Linked DNA regions of Lonchura striata. The protein of the gene in region 2 interacts with the protein of the main gene of each other region in a pairwise test. Links are inferred from orthologs where the notes say so. Each region holds a gene or a part of one and is shown on either strand. Other genes may lie near its edges. The genes, in order: AFAP1L1, GADD45G, ARPC5L and TSNAX.

Evidence for each region.
Region 1: the proteins of GADD45G (region 2) and AFAP1L1 interact in binary tests that used the Homo sapiens proteins (3 or more experiments, as listed by UniProt). The two-hybrid records come from large-scale screens. The link is inferred for Lonchura striata from reciprocal best matches to the Homo sapiens genes GADD45G and AFAP1L1.
Region 3: the proteins of GADD45G (region 2) and ARPC5L interact in binary tests that used the Homo sapiens proteins (3 or more experiments, as listed by UniProt). The link is inferred for Lonchura striata from reciprocal best matches to the Homo sapiens genes GADD45G and ARPC5L.
Region 4: the proteins of GADD45G (region 2) and TSNAX interact in binary tests that used the Homo sapiens proteins (3 or more experiments, as listed by UniProt). The two-hybrid records come from large-scale screens. The link is inferred for Lonchura striata from reciprocal best matches to the Homo sapiens genes GADD45G and TSNAX.

What each region holds. Positions count from the first base shown.
Region 1 is NC_134617.1:1,774,676-1,781,934, reverse strand, and holds the start of AFAP1L1 (actin filament-associated protein 1-like 1), read left to right. Parts: upstream 1-4,255; 5' UTR 4,256-4,289; coding exon 4,290-4,305; intron 4,306-7,259. Other genes in the region: ABLIM3 (actin-binding LIM protein 3), read left to right, coding at 32-39, 470-550, 787-900. UniProt on the Homo sapiens protein: May be involved in podosome and invadosome formation.
Region 2 is NC_134642.1:8,198,393-8,205,166, forward strand, and holds GADD45G (growth arrest and DNA damage-inducible protein GADD45 gamma), read right to left. Parts: upstream 2,665-6,774; 5' UTR 2,616-2,664; coding exon 2,563-2,615; intron 2,456-2,562; coding exon 2,354-2,455; intron 2,250-2,353; coding exon 2,036-2,249; intron 1,723-2,035; coding exon 1,612-1,722; 3' UTR 521-1,611; downstream 1-520. UniProt on the Homo sapiens protein: Involved in the regulation of growth and apoptosis. Mediates activation of stress-responsive MTK1/MEKK4 MAPKKK.
Region 3 is NC_134624.1:10,673,433-10,680,462, forward strand, and holds the start of ARPC5L (actin-related protein 2/3 complex subunit 5-like protein), read right to left. Parts: upstream 3,012-7,030; 5' UTR 2,957-3,011; coding exon 2,817-2,956; intron 2,718-2,816; coding exon 2,636-2,717; intron 2,369-2,635; coding exon 2,192-2,368; intron 526-2,191; coding exon 463-525; 3' UTR 1-462. Other genes in the region: PPP6C (serine/threonine-protein phosphatase 6 catalytic subunit), read right to left, coding at 3,602-3,850, 4,512-4,721, 4,835-4,914, 5,267-5,408, 5,726-5,791, 5,882-5,977, 6,109-6,183; RABEPK (rab9 effector protein with kelch motifs), read left to right, coding at 6,307-6,365, 6,541-6,677, 6,748-6,900, 6,985-7,030. UniProt on the Homo sapiens protein: May function as component of the Arp2/3 complex which is involved in regulation of actin polymerization and together with an activating nucleation-promoting factor (NPF) mediates the formation of branched actin networks.
Region 4 is NC_134605.1:43,691,235-43,698,777, reverse strand, and holds the start of TSNAX (translin-associated protein X), read right to left. Parts: upstream 3,003-7,543; 5' UTR 2,988-3,002; coding exon 2,972-2,987; intron 1,306-2,971; coding exon 1,198-1,305; intron 1-1,197.

The DNA.
Region 1 (7,259 bases), on a different chromosome or scaffold from region 2:
ATGGTGACATGTCCCTTCTGCTGTCCCACAGAGTACAAGGTAAGAGCCTCCTGCTGCGAGGAGCCACCCGCCGGAGCTGGCAGTGCCAGGGAGCATCCGTGTGCCCCCGGGCTCTTTGGGGGAAGCTTTGCCCTCTGCCTCTCCTCTCCTCCATCCTGGACCTGCCGGCCCCACGCCAGGGCTGTGTCCCTCCCTCTGCCAGGGCTGCTGGGCAGATGTGTCCCCTGGGTGAGGAGCAGAGCAGGGGGTTGTGCTGGTGCTGTCCTGCTCACGCTCGTGCCTGGCTCATCCCTGCTCTGCAGAGTGAGCAGCTGAATCTCCACGGAGGATCGGGGTCACCCCCAGAGCAGTCCCCACCTCTCCTTGTCCCAGCTGTGCCACCCAAACCCTGCTAAATACAGCAGGAGTGCCAAGTGTGCCCCGCGTGCCTTGTGGCCGCCCCAGTGTCCCTGTCCCTGTCCCCGTGCAGATTTACCCCTACGAGCTGCTCCTGGTGAAGACCAGGGGGAGGAACCAGCTGCCCAAAGACGTGGACAGGACTCGGTTGGAGGTGAGAAGAGCCTTTTTCACTGGGGACAATCAGGGCACAGCCCTGGCACGCGGTGGCCGTGGGGCACACGAGTGGCAGGGCGCTGCCACGGCTGCTCCCTGCGCAGGGGCAGGAGGGAGGCAGGTGCTCCCCTTTCTGAGGGAGCAGTGCTGGGGCTCGTGTCACCCCGTTGTCCCTGCGGGCAGGGGGTGCCCTCAGACCCCCTGGAAGGTGCCCAGCCTCCCGTTTCTCCCCAGAGACACCTGTCCCAGGAGGAATTCTACCAGATCTTCGGCATGACCATGGCCGAGTTCGACCGCCTGGCGCTGTGGAAGAGGAACGAGCTGAAGAAGCAGGCCCGGCTGTTCTAAGCGCAGTGCACTATAAATATATACATACCTATAAATATATACATAGAGAGATCTCTATATGGCAGCTCTGTATGATTCTCGGGGCTGTACGGGCCACAGGGGCCCTCCCTGCCCCCCTGAGAGTGAATTGGAGTCTTGCAGATCGTTTGGTGCTCTGTGTTTCATTTCCAGCCTGATTTCTGTGTCGATCCCTGAGTTCAGCCCACGCTTGGTGTCTGTCACTGCTGCCCCTCAGGGACACCAGGGGAGATTTTCCTGCTGCAGCCACGGTGCTTGGGGCTGGCAGAGAGCAGGATTTGGGATGGGGGCTGCACTGGGGTGTCCCATCCCCTTCTGCTCAGCTGGGGTGTTCCTCTATTTGCAGGAATAGCTAATTTCAAAAATTAGTTGAAGAAGAAGTCACAGCTGGCCTCAACGTGCACAAATGAATATTTTTCCAGGATCATGGGCTCATGTTTAAGTTGGAAGAGACCTTTGTGGCCATTGAGTCCAACCGTTAACCCAGCACTGCCCAGACCACCACTAAACCACGTCCCCAAGTGCCACATCTGCATGTCTTTCAAATTCCTTCAGGGATGGTGACTCCACCACTGCCCTGGGCAGCCTGTGACAGTGCTGGACAATCCTTCAGAGAAGAAAGTTTTCCTAATTTCCAATCTCACCCTCCCTTGGCACAACTTGAAGCCATTTCCACTTGTGCTTGTTCCACTTGATATTTGGAAGAAGAGGCTGATACCCCCTCACTAATCTTCTTTACAATTGCAGTTTAGAGGAACATTCCAGCTGGGGTGGAAAAGGCCCTGGGCACAATGGCAGGAAAATGGGATTTCACTCCAGGCTCCTTAAATCCATCCCTGCCTTGACATGGCCAGGACTGGGGGCACTTCAGGATCTGAAATGCAGAGCTTGGGGCAGGGGATGGAAGTGGTGGGGACATCAGTCCCAATCCCTCCTGGGCTGGTGGCTTTCCCTGCAAGCTTGGGTTGCTCCAGAGCCAGTTTATCCTCCCAAGAATAGCCCAGCCCTTCTTAAGTGGAACAGCCAAAGCCACCTCCTGCCTTCTGCAGTTTCCTGCTGCTCTTCAGGTTTGTCCAGGGCTGAGTATTCCAGGAGATTCCAGCTGGGAGCTGGGGGAAGGCCAGAGGAGAGGAGTGGGAAATGCAGGTGCCACCACCTGCTGAACCTCTGCTGGGTTTTCCTGAGTTCCCCATCACAGCTGCCTGACTCCCTGATGAATCCCTCTGGGAATGAAGGCAAACTCTACCTGTTTGTGTCCCAAACTCTATGGGATAACTTTTTTTTTTTTTTTCATAAAACCAATAAGTTTGTTTCCACACAAACATCTTCCCTGCTGTCTGTGGTGCTCTGCTTTCCCGTTTGCTCATCCTGCAGGATTTTCAGGCATAGAGCAGGGTTGAACTGTCCCAAAACCAGGCCAGGGACCTGTGGGGTACCTGCAGGAGCTGGGTCAGCTGTGAAGGGACAGCACAGGTTTTACCTCCACTGTGAAACCCTCCTGTCCTGGTGTCCCCATGGAGCAGATTCAGTTCCCTCCCTGCCATCCAAAACTGCCCAGTTTGTTGCCCAAAAATCCATCAGCAGGTTCCCCCTGCGGGGTTTGCCAGAGTTCAGGGCAGGAGTTTTCCCAGCAGCAGCCCCAGCCCTGGAGCTCTGTGCCAGCCAGGACAGGGCTGGGGATTGAGGTGGAGGTGACAACATCGCCCTGGGATCTGCTCATCTGCTCCAGCACAGCACTAAACGAGCAGAGTTTATTTGTAATTATTTCACTCATACAGAAAAGGGCTCTCTAAATCAAACTCAGCTGTTTGTGGCTGTAGGAATCGTCCCTCTCCAGCAGCAGCTCCAGAGAGGCAGCCTGGGGGATGTTATGAATAACAGTGATAACACAACAGCAGGATCTTTTCATTTCCAAAGTATTTTATGGGCAGTAACACAAGGACCTGCATGGCAAAGGTGGGGAAACTGAGGCAGGGCTTGGGGTTTTTTCTCTCAGAGCCGGGGCAACCTCTCTGGGGCAGCAGACACTCCAAGGGCCCCTGCTGGTGTGCCACTGCCCTGGTGGGGTGCAGGGACACCCCAGGTGTCACCAGCTGCCCTGGAAGCTGTCCCTGGCTGCTCTGCAATTCCCAAAGCAGCCTGGTAGTGTTGGCAGCCCTGGATTGAGATTCCTGCCCCAACCACAGACCCAAAGGTGATCCCAAATTGTGGAAGAACATTGGGGCTCGATCCAGAATGGAGAGACCATCAAACACCACCCCTGCAGGAGCTGGTTCCCAGCTGGGCGTGGGGGGATGAGAGGGGTGAGTTCCCTGGGCTGAAATTGCCCCAAAAAGGGGAATTTCTCCGTGCCAGCTGCTAATTTGCAGCTGATATTTTAATTATTGCTTTCCCAAGTGATAATAATTGGGTGGGTACGTGTGAAAGCTCATCACACTGCTGTCCCCACGGGGCTGAGATTCAGCCCAGACTGTCCTGGCAGTGCCACAGCCTCTGTCCTTGCTGCCACACCTGGGGCACTGCCACACGTCCCACAGCTCTGCCAGGAGGTCTGTGCTGGTCAGGGACACGCTGGGCACAGGGGGAGCAGACGGGAAGGGGATTTTGGGGAGGGGGAAACGAGGAGTGTGGGCTCGGGAGGACAGAGAGGGGATTTTGGGGAGGGGGAAACGAGGAGTGTGGGCTCGGGAGGACAGGGAGGGGATTTTGGGGAGGGGGAAACGAGGAGTGCGGGCTCGGGAGGACAGGGAGGGGATTTTGGGGAGGGGGAAACGAGGAGTGCGGGCTCGGGAGGACAGAGAGGGGATTTTGGGGAGGGGGAACGAGGAGTGCGGGCTCGGGAGGACAGGGAGGGGATTTTGGGGAGGGGGAAACGAGGAGTGCGGGCTCGGGAGGACAGGGAGGGGATTTTGGGGAGGGGGAAACGAGGAGTGCGGGCTCGGGAGGACAGAGAGGGGATTTTGGGGAGGGGGAACGAGGAGTGCGGGCTCGGGAGGAGCTGTCCTTGCTGCGGGCTGTGGGAATTCGGGATTTTCCCCCGAAACCGAAGTCGCCCAACCTCGTGTCGTGGTGGAGGGGCTCACTCAAGCCCCGCACCCTTGCCACGGGGGTCTCTGCGTGCCGATGGGGACGCAGGCTGGCAGGGGACCCCAGCCCCAGCCCAGGGCTGTCCCCGCGGGCTGTCCCCGGTGCCGTGCCGTGCCGGGCCGGGCCGGTGCTCGGCGCTGCAGTGCTCCGAGCGAGGGAGGGAGGGAGGGGCGGGGGAAGGGATTGGCCGCCCCCAGCGAGAGCCGGCCCCGCCGGGCGGCCGCTGCCCCGGCACTCGCCCGCCCGCAGCTCCCGGGGCGGCCGCGGTGCCGCGGCTCCGCACCATGGACCGGCTCAGCGGTAAGGGGACGGGACGGGATGGATGGGACGGGACGGGATGGATGGGACGGGATGGGATGGATGGGACGGGACAGGTCGCGCATCCCCTGCCCGCAGCACAGCGCGGAGGGCACCGCGGATGCCCGTGCCAGGCGAAGGGAATCGCGCATCCCGTCGCAGCCGAGCGGCCGCATCCCCCCGGCTCCGTGCGGGACGCTGCTCCCCCCACCAGTCCTGCAGCAGGGCCGGCTGGGGTAGGAGCTGGAAGCAGTTTTGCTTTGCTGGTAGGATGGGTAAAACGTCAGGAGCCTGCAAGGGAAGCTGCGGGGTGTACGCGTTTGTTAAATTGTGGTCGTGGAAAGGGAGGTGACGTTCCCCGATGGGGCCGATGGGGTGCAGAGGGTTTCCCCGCCGGGGAGTCTCCCGAAGCCGCGGAGGGCCCGGTCCCCGCCCTGCCGGGGAGCAGCTCCATCCCACACGTGTGCGATTGCTGCCTGCAGCCCGTGGCACCGGGCTCACGGAGCTCCCGGGCTTTGATCTGGGATCTGTGTAAACCTGCCAGGGCTTGGGGGCAGCTCTGCAGAGAAGGTCCTGGCGTTCTGCTGGGGCTGCCAGATCCCTGCAGGGAGCGCGGGGAGGTTTGCAGGGGGATTGCTCCTCGCTGCTGCTGCTGCGGCTGATTGCATCGGGGTGCACGGGAGGAGCAGGTGGTGACACGATGGAGCGCGGGGGTCCTGCCCCTTGACCTGTCCTTGGAGGTGCTACAGAAACAATGGCCAAAAGCCATAAGAGAGTGGCCAGGGGCGTCTCTGGCTGCCGGGGCTGGACCGAGTCCCAGGGTGGCTCAGGAGTGCTGTGTCTGCAGCCCCGGGGCAGCCCCGCAGAGACCCAGGGGTCAAGAGTTCCCCTCGCCCATGGAAAAGGATGGGGTGGCGTTTCCGCACTGGAAACAGCCCGGAGGAGTTTGGGACTGCTGCGAACACAGGCGCGGTGTCAGCGGCCCGCGGGTCGGGAGGGGACGGGGACAGGGATGGGGACAGGGACGGTGACAAGGACAGGGACGGTGACAAGGACAGGGATGGTGACAGGGACAGCCGTCCCCGTGGCTGTGTCCAGCCGGGGTGGCTGTGCCCGCTCTGAAGGAGAGGGAGTGCTTTCAAGTGACACTTGATGCCAGAGCTGTCCTCCAGGGTCCCAGGGGACGCCACTGCTGGGGACAGGGGGACAGAGGGTCTCTGATGAGAAATTCCCTGTTTGCGCCCCAGCCCACCCCAAAAACCAAACCTAGGACCCGATGGCAGGGAAGGGGGGGATGCCCAGCTGAGGGAGCCGTGTCTGGGCATGGTTCGACCTCTCCACAGGTTGACCCTGCCAGGGAAGAGCTGTTTTATCCCCCTCGCTGGTGCCAGCGACAGCAGCGCCTGCCTGCTTTGTTTTTGAGTGCTTGTGATGAATTGCTGTTGGCACCTGGATGGCTTTGCTAATGGAGAGCTCCCCCTGCCCCTCCTGCTCATCAGCCAGAGCTGCTGGATCCCTCTGGGGGCTGTGGCTCGTGGAGGGAAGGTTCCTTTCCCCAGTAAAAAGGAGGGGTCTGGCGTTAGGCAGGAGCTCTGTGCCCATTCCCAGTCTCTGGCAGCCCCTTCCTTCACCTGGAGCTGCTGTATCCCGATATTATCATCTGCCAGTTTTTTCTCGTGGCTGACTGGGAGGATTAGTGCTGTGGGCTGTTGGCAGAGTTGTTTCAGGTCGTGCTGATGGAGAACCCAGCTCCCAAAACGTGATTTGGGAGGTGATCCTTTGCTCAAACACGCCTGTGTTCACACATGGCTTCTCCTCCCTCGGTAGTGTCTCTTCCCTGACCTTTTGAGCCACCACAATTTAGGTCCTGCCCCAAACTTATCTGGGCTCTAAATCCAGGCAAGCCGGCGGAGATGTGTCAGGGATAAACTTGGCTCCAGCTCGCCCACAGGAATGGAGAGGCTGCGGGACGGGTGGGAGGGAGCCGGGATCATTCCTGCCGGGCTGGCAGCAGGAATCCTGGCGGTGGCAGGAAGGGCTGGGGGTGCTGAGGAGCACAGCCCGGGCCAGCTGTTAGCGCCGGGCAAGTGCCGAGCTCTGCTCCGCATTGCAGCCATTCCTTCCCCGAAACCCGGCCGCCGCCTGTTCCCAGCCCCGGGGTGCTGGGGAAGGGGCTGAGCCCCCCTGGGCTGGGTAGAACAGGCTGGGAGGTGGGATGCTGCTGCTGCTGCTGATGATGATGATGATGAAGGGCTGGAGTTGTTTGCCCCTCTGGATTTTCCCATCTCCCGCTGGCCGGAGCAGGGAGAGCCTGGATCCGTGCGAAGCCTCCCGGCAGCTCTGGAAGGGCACAGGGGGGCTGCTGGAGAGGGGAAGGACATCGTGGCATGGTGTCCCCCCAGCCAGGAGCCCTGGGGACTGTCCTGTGTGCTGCACTGCCTGGAAAACCTGCCTCTTCCCCGCTCTTGACCTGGAAATGTTCTTTTCCTGTGCAAACGTGCTGAGCTGCGAGGCTGCCCTGGGCCGAGCAGCGGTGCCTGAGCTCCCACGGGCCTGCAGGAGGTTCCTCTCCCTGCCCAGGAAAACTTTGTTTAAGGTTTTGAAGGAGCTGTCTCACCCCGAGCAGTGGGAAGCCCGTTCAGAGGAGAACACTGGGCTGGACCCAAGCTCTGCCTGTTGTTCAGTGGCCAAATCACTTGCTGGGGACAGGAGATAACAGTGGAGCAGAGCAGAGGCTTGAAGTGGTTTCTGGCTTCCCAGACTTGTGTCCTAACCCCCCAACCCTTCCCTATTATCTAGTCTGGCACAGCTCCCCCTCCCTCCTGAGGAACACATCTCCTCCTGCATATGAGGAGCCCTAAAATGAACGACACAGCTCTCTGTCCTGTGAAATACCGATTAAATGTCACCGTGCCAGGCCAGCGACAAGACAATGGGGCTGGAAACCTTTCCCTGCC
Region 2 (6,774 bases):
GCCAAACACTGCTAGATGCCGCCTGTACAAGGAAGCATATTCCAGGAATGTTGGAGCTGAATTTGAACTTCCCTTATTGGGAACAATGAAACTGAGAGCAAGCAGCTTCCTTGCTCAAGTGGAAATTACCACTTTTCAGCAAGTGCTACTGTCAATCACTGCAAGCCAGCCCAGAGGAAATGCAATTGTGATAACTGAGTGGTTTTAGTGCCTATAAAGGAAGTGAGTAGTTTAGCTTTCTTGCTCCGTGGAGAGGGGATTATTACTGTGCCATTTTAATGTCAAGTCCTGGAGCACATGCATAGTTTGTGCACAAAAATGGGGCGATGTTTTCCCTTTTAACATAGGGCCAAATCAACCCACCCATATTAACTTTTCATGACAGAATGTCTAAAAAGGGCCACACCATCCTTAAATTGTTTTGGACTTAATTTGGTGTTGTCATGCAATTAGGTTTCACAAAATTGGCTTCTGGACTGACAGCTTCTATTGTTACAGCATATGGCAATCAGAGAGCAGCTTGTGGCAGATGTGATGTTTATTCACCATTTGCTAGTTTTAGATTTAATGATGTCATTCTAATCAAAGCAAATGTTAGATGTGTTTGACATCTAAGGAGTTTTGCAGCCCCCCCATCATGTTTAAGCCACTTCTATCAAGTGGAAACACGTCAGCTCTGAATGCATCTAAGTCATATTTAAGAATCAATGATGCAATTTACTGGAGGTCTGTATTCCAAAAATCCATGTTTCTAACATGCATTGTGCTCCTCCAGCAGACTACAAAGACCTGCTATTACAATAAGTAAGCTCATTAGGCATGCGACTCCTTCGTCTTGCAAGCTGTTGCGATAAGCAGCTGTTACAAGAGGGTAAAGGTTGAATTATCAACTTGGACAGCACAGCACTTCATTCAGCCAGCCCAGCAAAGTATTTGAGCAATAACTCCATTACTGTGAAGCCGATCTTCGACTACAGCACACAAGCAAAACATCAGCAGTATTTAAGTGACATGCTTCCCCACACCCAGCAAGCAAGACACTCCCAGAAATTAATTGTCAAAAATTTATTATGAAAGCTTCAATAGCAGCAAATATTTCAATAAAAGTTATTGCAGTATTAAAACAGATCTGCAGAGTGACCCAAGAGGCCTGTTGAAGTCTGTCTGCTTTGGAATATCTGCATTTGTCTTAGTAAGCAATCCCCAATACTCCATAAATATTGATACTTTCTGGTGTGTTTTGCAGACAGCACCAACAGTTCCTAGTTACAGTACTCTATCCAGTCCTTCTGGAAAGTTTTGGCCCACTTCCCTCAACTTTCCCTCTCCCTTCTGAAACAGCTCCACATAGCCAAACTTGCAATACTTCTTTCAGTTCCATGGTATGTCAGCCTCTCCACGGTTGCAGCCTACTGAGGCTCACTGGTGAGATGAGCTGTTTTCCTCTTTCTTCTCTGTAAGAGCCCACTGCATGCCAGTCTGAGGCACTTTAATCCAGTCTCTTGACCAGGCTAATCCATGGAATCAGCAGCTTGTTGCACATTTTGGTGAACGCACAGCACGTTGAGAATGCAACAAAGGTTTCAGCCTCCCCGGTGCACCAGGTGACCATCACTCAGGCAGGGTGATAGTTGGCACCCAGTCATTGACATTTCTGCTCTCTTCGCAAAACAAATTCAGCTTCTCCAGAGCTGGATCCTTCCAGCCTTCTTCATTCGGGTTCTGCAGAAAAGAAAAAAGTTGCACACCGTGAGTGCTGCCCGTCAGCTGAGGTCATCGTAACATTTACAGAAGCATTAGCTTAGGGCTGGAAGCACTTCCAGACAGTTTCTGTCCTGACACAGACAAGACAGGAAGCAGAGATGCTGCCCTTGCGGACAGCGGAGGAAATCCAGTTACGAGAAGTTCTGCCTCCTCCTCCTCCTACCACTCAGCTGACTCGCTGCGTGCCAAGCGCTCTGTCTGTGCCCGGCAGAGGACTCGACCACCCGCAGCGGAGCAGGGGCCGCGCCGGGCAGAGCCGCGGGACACCCACCGTGATGAGGATGCAGTGCAGATCGCGCGGCTCGCCGGAGTCCTCGCTGGGCCCCACGATGGCCGCCAGCTTAGCCACGTCGTTCACCCGCACGATGTCGATGTCGTTCTCGCAGCAGAAGGCTTGGATCAGAGTGAAGTGGATCTGCAGCGCGATGTCCCCCTCGTCCTCCTGGTCCGCAGCCAGCACACAGAACGCGACGTTGTCGGGGTCGCTGCGAGAGGGGAGCAGCCCGGTGAGCGCCGCGGTCGGCACCGGCCGCCCCGCAGCCCCGCCGGGCTGCCTTGCACACTGCCCTGCCCCCGCCGCCGTACTCACACATTCATCAGCTTGGCCGACTCGTAGACGCCGGCGGTGAGGCAGCCGCGGCGCTGCGCCGACACCAGCAGCTCGTGGAGGGCCGTGCCGGCGCCCTGCATCCTGCGGGCCGAGAGAGACACCGGGTCAGCGCGGCGCCGCCGCCACCGCCGCCCCGAAACCGCCCGCTACCCTCTCGCCTCGGCTCCCCAGCGCCCACCCGCACGTACCAGTCGTGCCCCGCAGGCATGGGCTGCTGGCCGTGGATCTCCTCCAGAGTCATAGCAGATAGTCCGCACGGCCCCGCGCCTCCCTCAGCTGTGGCTCCGCGCACGCCGTGAGCGCTCTGAGGCGGCAGCCGGCCGGCGTGCGCTACTTATAGGCCTCGCGGGCGCCTCCCGGCCTCCCATTGGCCGGCGGGGGAGAAAGGGGCGGCTTTATTATGCTAATCGGCGCGCGCCGGAGAGGAAGATCGGGGCGGGGGGGGGGGAAAAGAGTGGCTCGTGCCGGGAGACCACGTGGGGCGCGCGGGCACGCGCCGGCCCGGACAGACAGACAGACAGACAGACAGCGGAGCCGGCCCGGACAGACAGACAGCGGAGCCGGGCCGGACAGACAGACAGACAGCGGAGCCGGGCCGGCCCGGACAGACAGACAGCGGAGCCGGCCCGGCCCGGACAGACAGACAGCGGAGCCGGGCCGGCCCGGACAGACAGACAGCGGAGCCGGCCCGGACAGGACAGACAGACAGACAGCGGAGCCGGCCCGGACAGACAGACAGACAGACAGCGGAGCCGGCCCAGACAGACAGACAGACAGACAGCGGAGCCGGCCCGGACAGACAGACAGACAGCGGAGCCGGCCCAGACAGCCCGAACCAGCGGTGCCAGCGATACCGGCGGTGCCGGCAGTGCCAGCGGTTTGCCTGCAGGCGTGGCCGCTCCCTGCACGCCGGTCGCCCGTAGGCACTGGCAAGTAATAGGGCGATTTGTGTCCAAGACTTGGAAGGAAAATCTGTACAGTGCAGGGGAAATAAAATTAAAAAAAAAAATTAAAATAAACAAGAGATTTTATGAATATGGTTTCTGCAAGGGTGTACGCCGCGAAGGGCCAGCCCCTGTAACCAGGGCTAAGGGCAGCGCTCTAGAGGTCCTGGGCTGCGCTGGGCAGGCAGCTGGTGATGCTCAGCAGTGGCTCGGGCTGCAGGAAATCCCCGCCGCGCCCTGGTCTGTATGAGCAGGAGCACGGCCAGCCGGCCGAGGCAGGTGATAATCCCCCTCTGCTCAGCACTCCGGGACGCAGCAATGTGGTCTGTCCGGTTTGGGCACCCCCGGCCGGGGAAACACGCCGATAAACCGGAGTGCAGATGAGGGCACCGAGGTGTCCAAAGCTGTGCAGGCTGAGGGACCAGGGCCAGCTCAGCCTGAGGAAGGCAAAGTTTGGGTGGCAAACTGCAGAGCCCAAAACCCGTCGAGTGATCATTTGGAAGATAACACCGGGGTCTTCACAGCAATGTTTAGTGGAGCAGGAGACAATGAGCGGAGTGTAATCAAGACGCTCAGATGGGATGTAAGAAAAATCCTTTCTCCCTGAGAACAGTCAAGCAGCAGAGCAGGCTTCCTGTCCAGGGAGGCTGTGTAGATTTCATCCTTGCAGGATTGCCCCCATGCAGACCTGTTCTGAGGTCACTGGTAACCCTTCTGCAGGCTGTGCTGGTCTATGATCCTGGGAGAGGAGGGTGGTGTGAGCAAACAGAGCATTTTTTTTTTTTTTTTCAGTCGGGTTTTATTAAAAATAGCTGTAATTTGGACAGTGTTCATAATTAATTCAGAGTGAAACGAGTGTGATTGCTGAACTCAGATTTGAACCTGTTTGTCAGCAAACCAAGCAAGAAAAAACCATATTTTCCCGCTGTGAATGAGCAACAGACAATGTTAAAAGGCAAATCACATTTCACGTCCCTTCAGCATCTGACACGCTTAAGCTTACAGCACTTGTCTGCACCGAGTCACCGGTTCAGAGCAGCGCCGTGCGGTCCCACAGAGGCTGTGCGGAGCCTCCTTGGGATAACCTGTGCTACTGCGACCTAACTTGTCATCCTTGCTGCTCTCTAGCTTGCAGCCACACCCATCCGAAAGTGTTGAAACACAGGGGTGTCCTTTCCAAGACTTCACCGGGAGTCCTGGATGAAGCACGTCTTATCTGTGACTGAATATGCTATACTCTGCTCAGTTTCAGTCTCTTTGAGCATCACAATTTCCAAAATGCCTCTCAAAGAGAGCCACTTTAATGAGCTGCTGTGTTTCTACTTCCAGTTGTTTCTAGAGACCCTGGTGACACGAGAGGTGACAGCATTCAACCTGGCAGTAATCACTTAGTGAGTTGCCATTTTAAGCTAGTGACAACATAGGCATGATGTCTGCCAGACACATCCAGCCTCTCTAAGAACATTTCTCTGATGTCTACAGAGCTGTCAGTACTGGGAAGAAAACTCTTCATTGTAAACACCAGTCCTCGAGCCTCGCAATCTTTTTTACCCTACTAACGTGCAAAGACTTGGAAACCAAACCAGTGACTTGTCAGTCTGAATTTGAGTGAGAAGGGCATAAATTTTTACTTTGCCTTCTCTAAAAAAGATGTGAGAAGTCTCCAGAAAATTATCTCCTGGCCTGTATTCAGGCAAGTGCAATTGTCTCCACTTGCTGGAATTAGCATAGTATACATAGCATGTACAGTTTGTTCTCAAAAGATAAAAACCTTTCATACATCTGCTTCTTTCTTTTTCCTGGTTTGCTTGTTGTTTTTTTGTTTGTTTTTTTTTCCTCTAAGTATATAAATGGGGATGAATGCAGAAGAGTAGCTTGAATGGTAAGACACATTAAGTGGTATGTCTCAGATATATTCAAGGGCCTATTTCTGATGAAATAGGTGGAAAACCCAGAACTGACTCACAGCTTTGAAAGATGCTGATATCAGCTATCACTTTGATGACTTTCTCAGTGCACTAAAAATTAAAGTTACTTCAGATGGATCCGAATTAGTAAGCCAAAGTAACTCAGAGTGGAGAACAGAGTATATGTAATAGTAAAATATATATAATTGTCTAGATAATAAAGTGGTATATTGAACCTTATTAACATATTAATCCTTCATGCAAGCTTCCAGTTTCAGCTTAATGATGCAGCACCCCGGAATTAAGGCTTCTTGACATCACACTTTTCAGTGTGCCCCATTATTCCCAGGTCTCCTAGCACAGATGGTGCTGAAGGCCATGAAGCGTTCATTACGAGATAGCTGATCCCGCTTGTTTCAAAGCACAGTATCAACACCAGGCCTCTGACGCAGGAGAGGAGCTGCAGAAAGCAGCGCTTTGCAAGCCCAAGGCCCCGTCCCTGGCTGGAAGGCATCAGCTCCGCAGATGTGGTACCTTGGATGCCGAATAAGCAAACTGAACTTCGGGCTGCGCTGACCTCTCGCGGCCACCCGGGACGCTTACAGCGGAGACACGGGAAGAGAAAAACAAATAAACAAACAAACAAAAAAACCCAAACTCAAACCCAAAAAAAAAAAAAAAAAAAAAAAAAAAAAAAACTACGCACAAAAAGCCACCACAAACAACAGCCAACCGACCAAACTGAAAAGTAGACCTTGACACATCCTACACAAAATAAATCCCCTAAAGTGTGTTACCTGATCCATAGACATGCTCGAGGGAAGGAAGGCTCTACAGAGATCTGGACCGACTCAGTCAGTGGGCCAAGGACAATGAGGCAATGTGCTGGGTTCTGCACTTACTCTCAGCAAACCCATGCAGCACTACAGGTGGGACAGAATTGGCTTAAGAGCTGCTCGGCAAAAAGGGACATTACCTCTTGGCCTAAGTAAGAGGAGACTCACACCTTCCACATCAGAAAAGGCTTGCAAGCCATGGTAATAGACCCCCCAGCCATGGGGCTCCTACCCTGCACTCACCTGCACTCACCTGCCTAGTGCTCCCCTGGCTTGTGCTGCACATCCAGACTTTCCATCAGAAAGACTCTACCAAGATAGACAAGTCCTTTCAGCTCAGATGCAGTACTCCCTTCTCAATGTCTTTCCAAATCCATCTCCCTCTCCCTTTCCATTTCCATCTCCCTCGCCCACTCCAGTTCTCCCTCCAGTTCTCCTCCCTTGCAGACCTATTGTAATCACCCAGCAAGCTTCTTTCTCCAGGTGTGGATGTCACCAAATAAAAACCAAATCAAAAACCTTCCTACTGAACACAAGTTTTAGGAAGCTCTACAAATTCTGTGGTTAAATTCAAGATGATTTAATCAAGCTGATTTTTTCTGTTTCCAGCAGATCAATAGGTCACCTACCTCATCCTCATATAATTTCTTTCCACTGAACCTGAAACAGAAGTTGCTGATCCCCACGCCTCATAAACCAGGTAGCATCCTCTG
Region 3 (7,030 bases), on a different chromosome or scaffold from region 2:
ATGCAGCAGGCACTTCACTTTACATTAAGCCAACACCAGAGTCCAAGAGTCCTTCACCCACACGTTCTAAGAGCCCTTGTCCCACCCTCAGCTGCAGGATCCCAGCCTGGACACAGCTACCTCGGGACTAAGCAGGACACACGGAGCTTGTACCACCACACCTGGCTAAAGCAGCATCTGAAATACCTGTTCACTTACAGCAGTAGGAGGCAGGAGTGTGCCTTCTCTCTGCCCGTTACAGAAGGGAGCAGGAGAATGTCTTGGCTCCTGTGTGTGATAGTCGGAATATGCAGGAATACCTTTACTCTTCCCCCACCTTAAAGGTTAAAAGCATTCCAAGAGGAGGTTACTGTAGGATTTCAGTAGATTGCAATCTCTAATAAAGATGGACCAGTGTAATTTCAGCTTATTCCTTCTTCTGAGTCCAAACCTGACCGTCACCTCTGTCCAAGTTAACAGTCTTTAGACAGTCTTTCTTGCTGTGAGAACTCTTATAATGGAGCCCAGGCCTCCTACTGCCAGTGCCTGTGGGAAAGGAGAGAGGTTAAGAGTCACCACGTCCCACACAGAACAAACATCAAAGAGTTTAGCACAGAAGGGACTATGGCTCTTCTCCAAAACTAGAAACTGTAATTCTCCACAATCTAACTATCTTTTGCATCTCCAGTGTTGCAAGTCACTGACAGAGCAGAATGTCTCGCCTCCTGTATCCCTGAGGAGGAGGAGGAAGGGCTCACTTCAGTTGAATTTGTGTCCCTCAATATGAACAGTGTTTCCTTCTGAAGTCTAGAAGATGGAGGTGATTATGAAGAAAATAAATTTTTAAGATGACTGCTGGAAGTGGGGTGTTTACTTTGCAACCACAATCCAGTAGATTGCTCTACAGAGTACAAGAGCAGAAGAGACGTGGAGCTGGGAAACATGACTAGACAAATGCAAAGCACCCACCTGGAGCAGGACTGGCAGGTGAAAGCTCCTGAGCTACCAGACCTGCCACAGGCCTTTTCCAGAGGACAGACTGGTACTACCACTGAGCTGACTATGATCTGAGCAAGCCACACGTCCTACCAGTACTGCCACAAAGCAGGACACCAGGCTTTAAACCCTGCCTACTCAGACCTGCCTTGTTCCTTTCACAACAGAGAGCATGAGATGCCTTTCATGTCCCTGCACGCTCTGAGTATCAGTCAGGGTGGTGGTGTGTCACCTCCCACGCTGGGAGCACCACCCACGCTTACCTGAAAGCACCTCAGTGGAAACAACAGGAAAAAAAGAAAAAAAACCAAGCAGAAACATGTTCCTTGCTGTCCCGAGAAATTCTCTCCTCCCTTGTCAAGGCCTGGCAAAGCTGGTGACAGCAGCCAATAGCTGGAGTCACGCTACACCAGCTTTATGTACAGCAGGAAAAAGCTCTGCACCTCGGGAAAGGACAGTGGCATTCACAGCAGCTGCCCTGCACAGGGAGCTGCAGTGTGCCCAGGGATCAGTTTTCCTAGGAGCACTGACAGCCTGGGCTTCAGCCAAAGCCCCTGCAGGGGGGGAAGACTTCACTTGGATTCCTGCCCGGGGGCAGGGGCACCCAGCAGCTGCTTCAGGGCTGTGCCTCAACCCAGAATGTGCCTGGGCCCATCACACACAGGGAAGAAAGTTGCAGTATCAGCTTCTGAACACATCCCACACTCCCTGTTTCACAGCTGACATTCCAGAGGAACGAAAGAGGCCCCTGCTGGTCCCCATTGGAATCTTTGGAGACCTCAAAATCCTCTCCTGGGCAAACCAAACAGGTTTGCTAAACCCTGTGACTCAGCTGATGCAAACTGCCAGCCTGACTCCCTGAGCTCGGCCCCAGAGGAAGCTGCAGCTGCCCCGTCCATCCCATCACATCTCCACTCCCACCCTTCTCCTTGCTGGAGCCCCTGCCTGCCCTGGGGGCCAAAGGCAGCACAAGGAGAACTCCCTGCTGCAAGTTTCCTCTTCCCATGGCAGAGGGTAAGGTTTGAAATACAGGCAAAGGCTTTGTGAATGCAGGCTCAGAGAGAGCAAAGGTAAAAGGAAACAGTGAGCAAAGGTAAAAGGAAACATTCCTCCTCAGGGATGAGGCCCTGCCCCACCTGCTTCTCTTCAGGGGCTCTCCTGAAACCACCACTGGCCAGGACCCTGCGAGCGAGCCAAGAGTGCCCCCAACACGTACCTTTTCATGCCACTGGAGTAATATTGCACTGCTGTTTTCTGTTGGCTTTTCAAATCCTTTATAAATGTACTTCATTAACAAATCAACACCGTTTCTGTCTAAGGAATTCACCGCTTGTTCTATTTCACTGCTTTTAAAAGATGTGAGGACTTTAAGCATCGTTCCCTGCGCCTGCTCCTGGGAAGACAAGGCAAAGAGAGAAATGTGAGGACGAGAACAGCTGGAAACGATCCCAAGACTCGTGTTTGGCAAGAGGTGGCCACGCTCCAGGCTGGGTTGTCTGGGTGAGCGCGGTGAGCAGACCTGGGGTTAGCGGAGGAAGGGTGAACACGGCGGGATGCCCGTGCCAGCACGCTCAGGGCTGTGCCGGCAGCAGCGGCGCCGCTCAGACCGGCGGGGCGCCGCTCAGACCGGCGGGGCGCCGCTGTCCCCCCCGGCCCGTACCTTCACGGCCTGGCTCCGGCTGCTGCCCGGGGAGCTGCGGATGGCGGCGTGGAAGGCGCGGAGCGCCTCGCCCGTGCGGCGGCGGTCAAGGACTCAAACGGGACCTGCGTGCGCGGGACCGCAGCGCGGCTCCGCCCCGGCCGCTCCCCGGGACCCCCGGGACCCCCGGCCCAAAGGATATTGCCTGAGCAGCGCCTCCACCTCGGGGCCGGCATCGGGCTCGGCCGCCGCCGCCTCCTCGGGCTCCTCCACGAAGCGGTTCTCGTCGTACTGGTCGATGTCGAGGCGGCGGAAGCGGGACGAGAGCGTGCTCCGCGCCATCGCCGCCGCCCGGCCCCGGCGGAAGCGGCGGCGGAACCGGAACGCGCGGCGCCGCCCCGCCCCGCCCGGAAAAACAGCGCAGCCCGGGAAAATCCCAACCAGCCTTTAATGTACGCGTCCCGCCGCTGCAGCGCTCGCGGCTCCGGCCGGGATCCCGCGCAGAACGGACAGACCGGGAACGCGGAACAGCCCTTGGAGCGCTTTATTGGGATCCACGTAACACTCGGAAAACGCTGGCTCGGTCCTGCGCCGTGAACGCAGCACGGGCAGCCCCGGCCCCGCCGCACGCCGCGCGCTGACTTTGCTGCTGAAATTTCTTAAAACTTAGCAAAAACAAAAAGTGAACAAGAGACGGGCCCGAGCGGCTCCCGGAGCGTGGTGGTTAAAGGAATCGGTTCATCTAACCCAGGACTAGGCGAGGACTACATGCAGTAGTACAAATCTCAAGGACATATTACAAATACTCTGAAATTAATCTAGGGGCGAGGGAAAAAAAAACTTGCTACAGACACCATAATACACAATAAATTTAGATAATTTAAAAATAAAAAAGGCAAGAGGCAGCATTTCAGCAGCAAAGTGCTCAATAAAAAGTATATTGAAAAGGGGCAGGACAGGGAGAGGTGAGAGCAGGCGGGCGAGGGCTCAGAGGAAGTACGGCGTGGTTGTCCTGGGAGGAATGACACGCTCTGAGTCTGGAACTGCGCGGAATAACTTTGGTTCTCTTGTATTTACATCTTTAAAGACCATGATGGAGGCGATGTTCCCGCAGCGGTAGCAGTAGTTGGGAGCTGACCATACCGTTACCAACTTCTCATCAAACATGAATTTGTATCCTTCGTGGACGAGCTGGTGCGCTCTGCAGATCAGCTTCAGGTTGTTGATGTGAACAAACTGCAAGGGAAGGGGAAAATCAGCGTGGCCCGAGCGGCTGCTGCCCACACCACGTCTGCTCCTGGCCTGACCGCACACAGCAGCATGGAGAACACAACAGGAGGAGTGAGAGCACTGAGAAACCCCTGTGAAACCCCTGTAAAACACGGCTGGCGACACCCGAGCTCTGAGGAACAGCATGAGTCCTGGGGCTGTGCTGTCCCCAGGCTCAAGCCTTCCTAACATGCTGTGCCAGGGCCACACGACAACGCAGTTGAATGTGGCCAGGTCAGAGCCTGCCAAGGCCAGTGTGTAGAGCCCTGAGGAGTCTGCTCAGCACAGACACAATAAAATTAACTCAAAAATTGCTTAAAAAATGGTATTCTTCTCCTAGATCCTTAGGAAACCATTCCATAGACAGCCCAGGAACACAAGTAAGTCCCACCACATCAGACTTTTCAAAAGCAAGATAGGCATTAGTACATCTGGCAGTTACATTTGTGCTTTTAGGTTGAAGTGGCTCATTTTTTCCATCTGGCACAAGCCACGAGTTACTGGCAGAGGCGTGACGGGGGAGTTTGGTGTCCTGCAGTGCCCTGGGTGCACTCAGCACCACCCTGAGCTGAGCCCGTGGCTCCCCCATCCCCACCCCGGGCTGCGTGGCCCCGAGCAGCAGCGTTACCTCGTTGGTGACCTTGGCCCCGAAGAGCCAGCCCGCCCCGCGCGGGCTGATGGCCCACGTGTCCACGTCCTCCGGGTCCGACCACACCAGGTCGCAGAAGGCGCCTTTGTGAGGGATTTCCTGGTTCCGCTCAATGGTCCGGATCTGGTCCAGGGTCTTGATGTCTGGGGAGAGGCCTCCGTGCACGCACAGGATCTGCTCGTCTATTAGCTGCAGGGAGGTGACACGTGCACAGAGCCCTCAGCAGCGCTGCCGGGGAGCTGCAGCTCAGCCTGCAGCGCCTGCCAGGACCCCACCGCTGCTGGCCTGGCCTCTGCACTTACAGCTGCTATCGTGAGCATGTCGAAGACTTTGGTGCAGTACCTCCAGGCGTTGGCGTTCCCGTATTTGGTTTGGCACTCATCTGTTGGAGAGAACGGGTTTGTTCCTCTTGGATCTCGGGGAAACACTGACGGCAGAACCTGCATGCTCAGCTGTGTCACATGAGCTCTGTGCTGGGTCCTGCTGCTGCCCAGAACCAGCACCAGCAGCAGGGAGCAAGAACCTCACGCTCTGCCTGTGCCACTGAACGTGGCACAACACAAGCAGAAACCCCACGTGCCAGAGGAAAAGAGCAGCGAGATCTGCCTCAGACACGTTCCATTTCAGAAGCACCGTGACCTTGTCACCAGTAACAAGCTGCAGCCCGTGTCCCAGCCAGCCCCGAGAGCCCCGGCCCCGTGTCGGTGCCAGCGTGCTTCCCGGGCAGGACTCACCGTAGAACCCGTACACCTGGGTGATCTGCCGGCTCTCGTGGTTGCCTCGCAGCAGCGTGATGCGGTCAGGCCACTTGGCTTTTAGTGCAAGCAGGTATGTGAACGTCTCGAGGCTGTAATACCCTCGGTCTACAAAGTCCCCCTGGAGGCAGAGACGGCGGCACTTGGAGCGACAGTCACACGGGAAAGTGCCCGGTGACAGATCCGCCCCCAGCTCCTCAGTGCCACAAGAACCCGGCGCTGCAGGGCAGGGGATCTGCGGGACCCGCGGGGCTCTCCTCCCCTCACCGCTGTCCTGAGCTGACCCGGGACAGCCTGGCAGGGCGGGATGCTCTGCCTCACCCCCGGGCTCCCGGCAGCACAACTGGGGGCAGGAGCCAGCAGCGGCCCCGGGACTCGGGAGCCCCTCGGGACTTCCCCCCAGCCCTGTCAAACCCGGCGCGGCCCGGCCGCACCTACCATGAAGATATAGTTGGTGTCGGGAACCTGCCCGCCGGTCCGGAACAGCTCGCACAGGTCATAGAACTGCGGGGGGAGAGCGGCGTGAGGGGGCACCGGGCACCGGCACCGGCCCCGGCCCGGGGCTGCACCGGGAGCGGCCCGGCCCGGCCTTACCTGCCCGTGGATGTCCCCGCAGACGGTGACGGGAGTAGAGACGGGCTGGACGTTGGACTCCTCCAGCAGCAGGTCACAAACATAGTCACAGAGGCGCTACGGGAGGAGCGGGGCAGGGTCGGGGTCAGCGCCGGGACCACCGGCACCGCCCGCTCCGGCCCGCCCGGCAGCGCCCACCCCGGCCCCAGCCCGCCCCGGCTGGCCCCGGCCCGCCGCCGCGGCCGCACCTTGAGGTCGTTCTCGGGCAGGTACTTGCAGAGCCGCGCGATCTCCACGTACTTGTCCAGGTCCAGCGGCGCCATCTTGGCTCGGGCTCGGGCACGGCGGGCCCCGCCCGCCACTTCCGGCCGGCGGAGCGCGCCGCGGGCGCGGGCGGAAGCGCGGGGCACTTCCGGCGGCACTTCCGGCCGGGCCCGGCAGCGGCCATGGCGCCGTGGGCGCTGCCGCTGCTGCAGCCGGGGCGGCGGCCGCGCCCGGGACGGTGGTGAGCGCGGCGGGCACGGCGGGGGCACGGCGGGGGTGATGAGGGCACAGCGCTGAGCGCGGCGGGCATGGCGGGGGTGCTGGGGGCGCGGCGGGGGCACAGCGCTGAGCGGCCGGGGGAACCGGCGGGCCCCGGGCCGGCCCAGCCCGCGCTGAGCGCCGCCCTCGTCCCGCAGGTACCGGCTAAGCCCTTGCGGGGAGCGGCCCCGCGGCCGCGTGGGACTCGGCTGCCTCCTCCTCCCCGGCCGCGTCCTGCTGCTGGCCGGTGCCGACCCCGCCGGCGCCTTCGCGGACGCGCACTTCCTGGAGCTGGGTGAGGGCCGGGCCGGGCCGGGGCCGGAACGGGGACCGGGACCGGGACCGATCGCCTGTCCCCTCCACAGCCCCGCTGCGCTGGGTCCCCGCCGGCTGGCGCGGGCTGAGGCCGCGCTACGAGCACGCCACGTTCCTGCCCGCCGGCCGCGCCCCGCGCCTCTGGGTGTTCGGCGGAGCCCACCCCGCCGGGAACCGCAGCTGCGTTCAGGCGCTGGACCCCGGTGAGTGCCCCGGAGCGGGGCTGCCGGACGGGCTGGGCCTCTGCTCCCGCGCTGGTTGCTCGGTTAATCGAATGTCTTCACTAGAAACAGGAACGTGGGAGAGCCCTGCAGTGAGGGGGGAGCAGCCACA
Region 4 (7,543 bases), on a different chromosome or scaffold from region 2:
AAAAAATTAAAAGTTGAAAGTACAGTTGCTCTACTCAATTCAAGAGCAACCATACTCAATATAAATGATAGAGTGGTTTGGTTGAAAGAAACCTTCCAGATCAGCTAGTCCAAAAGGACACTTTCCACTACATCAGGCTGCTCAAAGCCCCCTCCAACCTGGCCTTGAACACTTCCAGAGATGGGGCAGCCACAGCTTCTCTAGGCAAAGTTCAGGGGTCATGGTTAATCATCTGCCAAGTTGATTTACACAGAAAAATATAAACACCCATTTTTTAAAAAGCCAGAAGTTATATGACATTGAAGGACATATTAACCATCTAAAGCAGCCAGCCAGCTTATATTTTACCCTTCTTAGCATCATAAAAAATATGTGGCACGGGGAAAATTTTACAACAAGAGTTAATCTGCTCCCCATCTCAAATCTCCTTCCTTCTTCAGTCAAGGCTTCTCATTTCTGAAGGTCAGCTTTGCTTTCTTAGGAGTTGTCTAATGAGAAATTTAAATTTACTGGAGTTTAAATCTGGTTTGCTGAAAAAGCCTATAAAAACAATTTGGCTGAAGGAAAGTTTACACCTGCCTTTTTAAAGACCTTTGAATATATGTTAATATTTAAAAGGCATTCAAAGTGAATAAAGTGACTACATAAAGGTCTATATTAGTTCGTTGAAGTCTTTTTTTTTTAAAGTGCAGGTATAAACAACTACCAACTCTTAAAACAATACATTAAAACAATTACATTTCCTTAGCTTAGTCATTTGTGCATCACAGCCAAGGTCAGAGCCTCTTCAGTTTCCCAAAGGTCACCATCTCCTCCTGTTGCTCCTGTGGCTCAGATTTTGTATTACACCTCTGCAGATCCTACATTTTTCTGTCACCAAAGGGCCCAGTCACCTTTTGTCTGGCCGAACACTTGTGCAATTTGCTCAGCATCAGGTTCAGCACAAGTGAGAAGGGCAGGGGGAACAGCAGGTGAGATGGAAACAGGAGCAAGTCATGAACCAGGCAGAGCTATGCAAAATCCCACTCCCAGGACTTCACTGCACAAAATGCAGAACACTAAGCTCTAAAGGTATGGAGTATGAGTTGAATTAGTTTCAAGCTTCTCCCTTGGAGAGAGCTGGCTTATTTCACTAATAACTTCCTAGCAATTTCTGCACCACATTTTTAAAACCTGGTTTTCCAAATTCTTACTTACATTTAAAAGATGTCATCAAAGCTGAAGGTGGATTAACATTCTCTTTTTCTTCTCTTTTTTGACCATGTGGAAAATGATCATGCTTTCGCTTTCTGAACCCACCTGATCCTATTAAATAATAGACATAAAAAAATAAAATTAAAAAATAGTTTTGCCAGAGCAAAAGGAGCACCAGAATGCTGTCTTCAGAGCATTTCTGGCTGCAATCATATTCTACAGGACAGAATAAGGTAATTGGATGAAACTTATTATCAACTGACGCCAACTTCACATTATCATGTTACTATTTCTTCCACATTGCTAGTGAAAATTAGAAAAAAAAACCCATTTCAATGGATAAGCAGATGGTTGCATGAAAATCTGTGATTTATGTCACAGGTCTTAACATGAAGAAGAAGTGAGGCACAGTTTAAGCAGACTACCCCTACCCAAGTATATAGGTTTAGCTCCTGCAGTGCAGCTTCTTACGCCCCTACACTCTGCCCATTAACCAGTTTCTTCTCTGAATGTAGCTGCTCACTTCTACTGCTCTGTGTGCCTCTTCCTTAACCCTCGTTTTCAGACCCACACCCAGAACTCATCTCTTTTGGACTATGTTTTACTCCAAATTTACACCTTGTATTGTTTCTTCCTTTTATCCTTCCTTCACCTTGGACTAACATGACACATCATGTCACCCATGTGTCAACTACTCCTCTCTCTCCCTCTTTTTGGTGACAGCTGTACACTGTTCCTAACAGAGCCAAAAATTTGGCAAACTTGAATACAGGCATATCTTTTGAATTCATTTAGTTCTTTCAATTTCCTTAAAACAAGAACCAAGGGAACACTGGATTTTAAAATGCTTCCGCTTAATTGTTTATTATCCCAAACCAAAACAAGAAGTGGGCGTAGCTACTTTCTTAAAGAGGAAACCAAAAATATTTTTTTCTTTATTTTATGTTGGACATGAGTTCAAGATTTTTTGCTTTTCCTATAGCAGTTGAAAACATTAAATGAACCCCCCGAAAGAGAGATGAAGGGAGGTCTGTGTGATTCTCGGTAGTACCAAGCAATAGGACAAGAGAAAACGGGCAGAAATCAATGCACAGGAAGTTCCATTCTTCCTGACTACACGGGAGAACTTCACTGTGCAGGTGACTGAGCACTGGAACAGGTTGTCCTCAGGCTGTGGTGTCTCCCACACCGGAGATGTTCAAGAACCATCTGGACACAATCCTGTGCCAGGTGCTCTAGGGAGACCCTGCCTGAGCAGGGAGCTTGGAACAAATGATAGCGCCGTGGTCCCTTCCAGCCTGACCCGTTCTGTGACTGCCAGGGCTAAACCAACACAGAGACGGCAGAGCAAGCTGTGAAAAATATGTATTTCACATATATATTGTGATGTATATATAATATTTTATACGTACATATACACCCACACACTATAATGAACAGTTAGCACAAGGGCTTCACAGGCCTCACACACTCAGCTTCCCTCTGTGGCATCTGCTTTTCCACCCCAGGGATACCGACCCCTCCAGCCACGTTCTGTGGCAGCCGCACAGCCGCAGCGGGAGGGCAGCGCCCCCGAAGGAAAGGTCCGTGACACCCGTGAAGGGGCGGCCTCTCCCAGGGCCAGAGGAGGGACCCGCTGGCCACGGCACAGGCTCCGCACCCCGTCCCCTTCCAGCCGCGGGGCCTCCCCCCGCTTCCGCCAGCTCCTCACGCCGCGGTCTCCTGAGAATGGGGCAGGGTAGAGCAGGGTAGGGAAGGGAAGGGCAGGGGACATCACCTTCCTTGCCGCTCATCACGGAGCCGCCGCCGCGCCGCGTCCCCCCGGCAACCCGCAGCCGCCCCGCGCGCCGCCAGGACCCCGCCGCGCCGCCCTCCGCCCCCGCCCTGACGGCGCCATGCAGGGGCGCCCCGCGGGTGCCTGACGGCGAAACGCCACACAGGCGGCAACAGCCCGGCCCGCCGCCCGCGGCGCGGGAGGCGCGGTGCGGAGGTGCGGAGCGGTGGCGGCGCGGAGCATGGTTCGGACGTTGCTGCCCGCGAAATCGGGGCAGTGCCGAGGCCAGGCCGTGCCTCCGAGAAGGCGACTCTGTGGGCAGCTAGTGTGCGACCCCTTCGTGGGGCCTCAGCGCCCGCGGCATGACGGGACATGTAGTGCCGGGCGGGGCGGTGGCGCGGTCGGGGTGGAGCCGCGGAGCTCTGGGTTGCGTGCGGCTGGCGTCCGGTGTGTCCCGCATCCAGAGCAACCGTGGTCCTCGGCTCGGACCGCAGAAATCTAGCGACAGTCCTCAGCCCAGACCCGCGCTGCCTAGGCTGTCATGTCGCCTTCCCGTCACCCCACGACAGACTCCTTACTGCCGCTTTCTTCCCCGGGCATCCCAGGACTACGGCGCTTCCAGGGAATCACAGAATCGGTTGGGTTAAAAAAGACCTCTGGGATCATCGAGTCCAACCTATGGCTGAACTCATGTCAACCAGAGCGTGGCACTGAGTGCCACGTCCAGGGAGAGTCAAAACACTTAAGCACTTCCAGGGATGGCGACTCCCCCACTTTCCCAGGAAGCCCATCCTAGTGTCCAATTGTAACATTCGTTCTGTGAAGCAATTCCTCCTCGCGTCCAACCTAAACCCTCCCTGGTACAGCTTCAGACTGTGTCCTCTGCTTACTGGCTGTCCACTTCTGTCTCAGTGCCCCTTTCCTGCCCAGCATGTCAGGATCCAGGTGCTCTCCTCCCAGGCAAGGTGACTGGGAGCACCCCCAGCGCAGCACCAGGTGCCCCCTTACTCCCCTTTAGTGCCCATCTGTCGCTATAGGACACGTAAAAGCACAACGCGAGCCGCTGCTATTTGCAAGGTAAAGAAGAAGGAAGTTTATTCTCTGACTCCAACTTTTATACTTTTCCAAAGGTGACAGTGGATTGGAGAGTGAATGGGCCACCTCTCCAAACACATTGGACGAACTACCAGTACATCAAGTTTCTCTGCCCCTATGAAGGAATGCAAAACAATATGTTGTTTATAGAAAATTGTGTGAGAAAGTTTTCTAACAGAATGTAAATTCAGAAGGCTTTAGAAAATCTTAAGAATCAGGGCGACACCCATCCACACAGTGTGCCAGGGCAAGGAGGCCAGGGAGGATGGCAAGCTGACACTGAGACAGGCTCTGGAAACTGGAGACACTAACTGGACATCGAGAAGATCTGATAGTGAAGCCACCTAATACCAGGAAAAGAAATCTGAGATGCAGTGAATGTAGCTGCTGGTACAGAGGAGGCAAATTCCCAAACTCAGGATATTTGCATCCTGGTAAAAATTATGTTTCCTCTACTGGAGACTTGGTGTGAGTGTTCTCAGGATAGGAGTGTTCTCACTGCAGGAATGACCACGAAGGAGATGGACGCACACCATAAATACTTCCCAGCACAGAGAGCTCTTGATGATGCTTCTCTTCTTATGATGAGCTACAAAAAGTCTGCTTGCCTACTAGGTTTATACTTCCCTACACATGCATCCTGATGGATTCCTCCGATGGAAGGAAAATAGGGATGGGTCTTGCAAATCCCCAAATTAAAAGGTTTGCAAATCATCAGTCTTGCTCCTCTGCTGATAGATCTTATTTCTTGTCACAGCTGTTGCCTGTTTTAGTAGCTGGATTCCCAAGGAAACAAAGCTCATATGAGCACAAAGGCGGAGTGCTTGCAGCCTTTGTGTGTGGGTGTGCATGTGTGCCTGTCCTTCCTCCCCACCCTTAATAATTTTTTAATCTGTTGGTCAACTGGTCGATCTGATTTGACAGAGGGAAAGAGCCTCCAGGAGTGATTATAAACATCCTGAGTAAGGAAAAAATTTTGGGTGGAACTTGCACCTTACTAGAAATCAGATAAACCCAGCTGTGAAATGCAAATGCTTCAGAGTCAAAAGTTAGCAGAGCCCAGCCTGTGGGAGTTCTGGAAGAGCAGAGCCACTAGCCCAGTATCAGGTCTTTTGCATTTAACAAATAAACAGCTTTTGACAAACTTGAATATCAGGTGAATCTGTCAACAGATTCAGGAGGATAGTAACTCACCTCACTCAGATAGCAGAGAAGTAAAACTTTGACAGTGAGGTTTAAAGTCTCCAGGCAGCCAAGCAGGAGTTGCTCAAACCTGGTATTTTCAACTGTTGAGAACATGTGACTGTCATGCAGTGTTCAAAATTATTCAGAAGTGTAACATAAAACCTTTCTCCAATTTCCTAATCTGAGAAAACAGATTTCAATCACACTTGAAAAACAGAGGACAAAGAGAATCCCGGCAGAACTTCCTCAGGCCTGATCTGCATATTGAGTTGTGCAACAGCTTGATTGCTGCCCTACCAGCTGCACAGGAGATTTCTGCTTTCTATGGGGCAAAATCAGGACATGAAATTATTTGTGTCGGTGTTATCGCTGCACACATTCAGGCACAGCCTTTTGTTTTAGAAGATGTACAAAACTGCTTTTGGAAACACATACCTTTTTTTTTTTTTTTTCAAACTGTGCTATTTCCCTGTTCTTGGCAGCTCTTTGGACAAAAAGCAGAGTTGTTTTGGTTATATCAATGTCGCAGGAGAGTGGAAATAGTGCCTGCTTCTGAATGCTTCCCAGCAGTGGAGAATTTTCAGCCAATTGTAGGGAGTGAAGGTCAGGTCTTCAGCCGATTTTTGTTGGACTTAGTGACACTTTGCACGTGCACTGATATATTCAACTTGTTTGACTTCAACAGGATGCTGTTGTGAAAAACAACTGGTTGGGGTTTTTCTTCTGAAACAATCCACTTAAATGTAGCAGCATTAAACCACTTTGGTAACAGGTTAGCTGCAGAATTTTTCATTTTCTTCTAGCTGGTATTTAAACCTTTTCCCTTCCCCTTACAGTTTTGTGTTCTTTATGCCTGAAGAGAATGGCATCTGCACCTCCACAAGTGTGAAGGTGGAATAACAACATTTTGAAGGAGGAATTGGTAGGAGAAAGGAGTTGTGAGGATTTAGGTTAGGGCAAAACCCCCAAACAAGCTAACAACAAACTAACAAGGTTTTCTCAGAGACTTAAGATCTAAAATGTTGTATATGGATTGCACACGACTGCGCTCTTGAGCCTAAGACAAGGTTGGTAACTCAGCTTTCACATAGGAAAGAAGTGTTTTCCAAGACTCAGGGCTGTGAGAACACTGCACAAGTGCATAGACCAGACAGGATCTGCGCCTTTCTGAGTGGGGAAAACAACTCTGTAAAACAACTGTAGGGAGTTGGAACTTGTCCATTCATTTTATCCCTGAACTCTGCTGCTTTGGGCAATGATCTGCTTCAGCAACACTCCTACACAATGTCCTTCAGTGAGGCTTCTGGTCCTCTGCAGTACTATCAGCAAACACCACCTCAACATGGCACTCAAGGGAGCAGGAAAGGAGTCCTTCCTTTTCTGTAAAAGTCCAAGTTTAACACTGACTCAGCTGAACTCTGTGAAGGGCAGACAGAGGAGTGTGGTGGGCTCAGCTCAAGAACCACACTAATGAGGCTGCTTCAACACCTAGAGCTTCAAGTAATGGAGCTGTGCAGAGGTAGGACCCAGGTGATTTGTCAGGCACATGAAATTACAATTTCTTTCTGCCCTCAATAATTTTGATGCAACTCTGTGGAAACTGTTTAAGATCCCTGAGATCCCTGGCAGAGTTCATGGTGTAGCTCTTCATGCCCCTGTATGCCTCGTATAGCTTTAGAGACAAATGCTATCTTTGTGGTGCCCTCCCACGTTTAAATAACCAGCCTGGGAATGTTTCCTAAAACTTCTGCTAAAGCAGAATAGCACTATGGATAGTTAGAGCTGGAATTGTCCTGGCATATCCTTTTAGGTTTCATTTTATTTCATGACATAGCATAGTACTCTTAGAGCAAGACTGTGAGGTTGCCTTGGAGATGCAGGGCTTAGCCACGGGGCAAGCTGTCACACCGAAACGTTCCCATTAGCCAGGGTAACTGCGAATGCTTTCCACAAACAATTGAGTGAAGTGAAGTGACAAAAAGCTTATGAAACGGCCACAGGGGAGTTGCATAAACTGGGGTCAGGTGGTCAATTTGAGACTGTTCCATGACCGAGGAGTTTCGCAGCTGGTTGATGAAAGGAAGCGGGGAGGTCAGCTGGTCTCTAGCTGTTATAACAACAACCTGTTATGTTTCTCAGGCAACAGAGATGCCCACAGCAGTGGCAGGATGGATCAGGAGGATGATTTCCTCATTTCCTGGAATAAAGTTGGAAAGCTGTGAATATTTTACTGCTGGTAGAATTTGAGATTTCAGGATCCAAGTGCTAATACACCATGGTGCAGCCTTTGAGTGG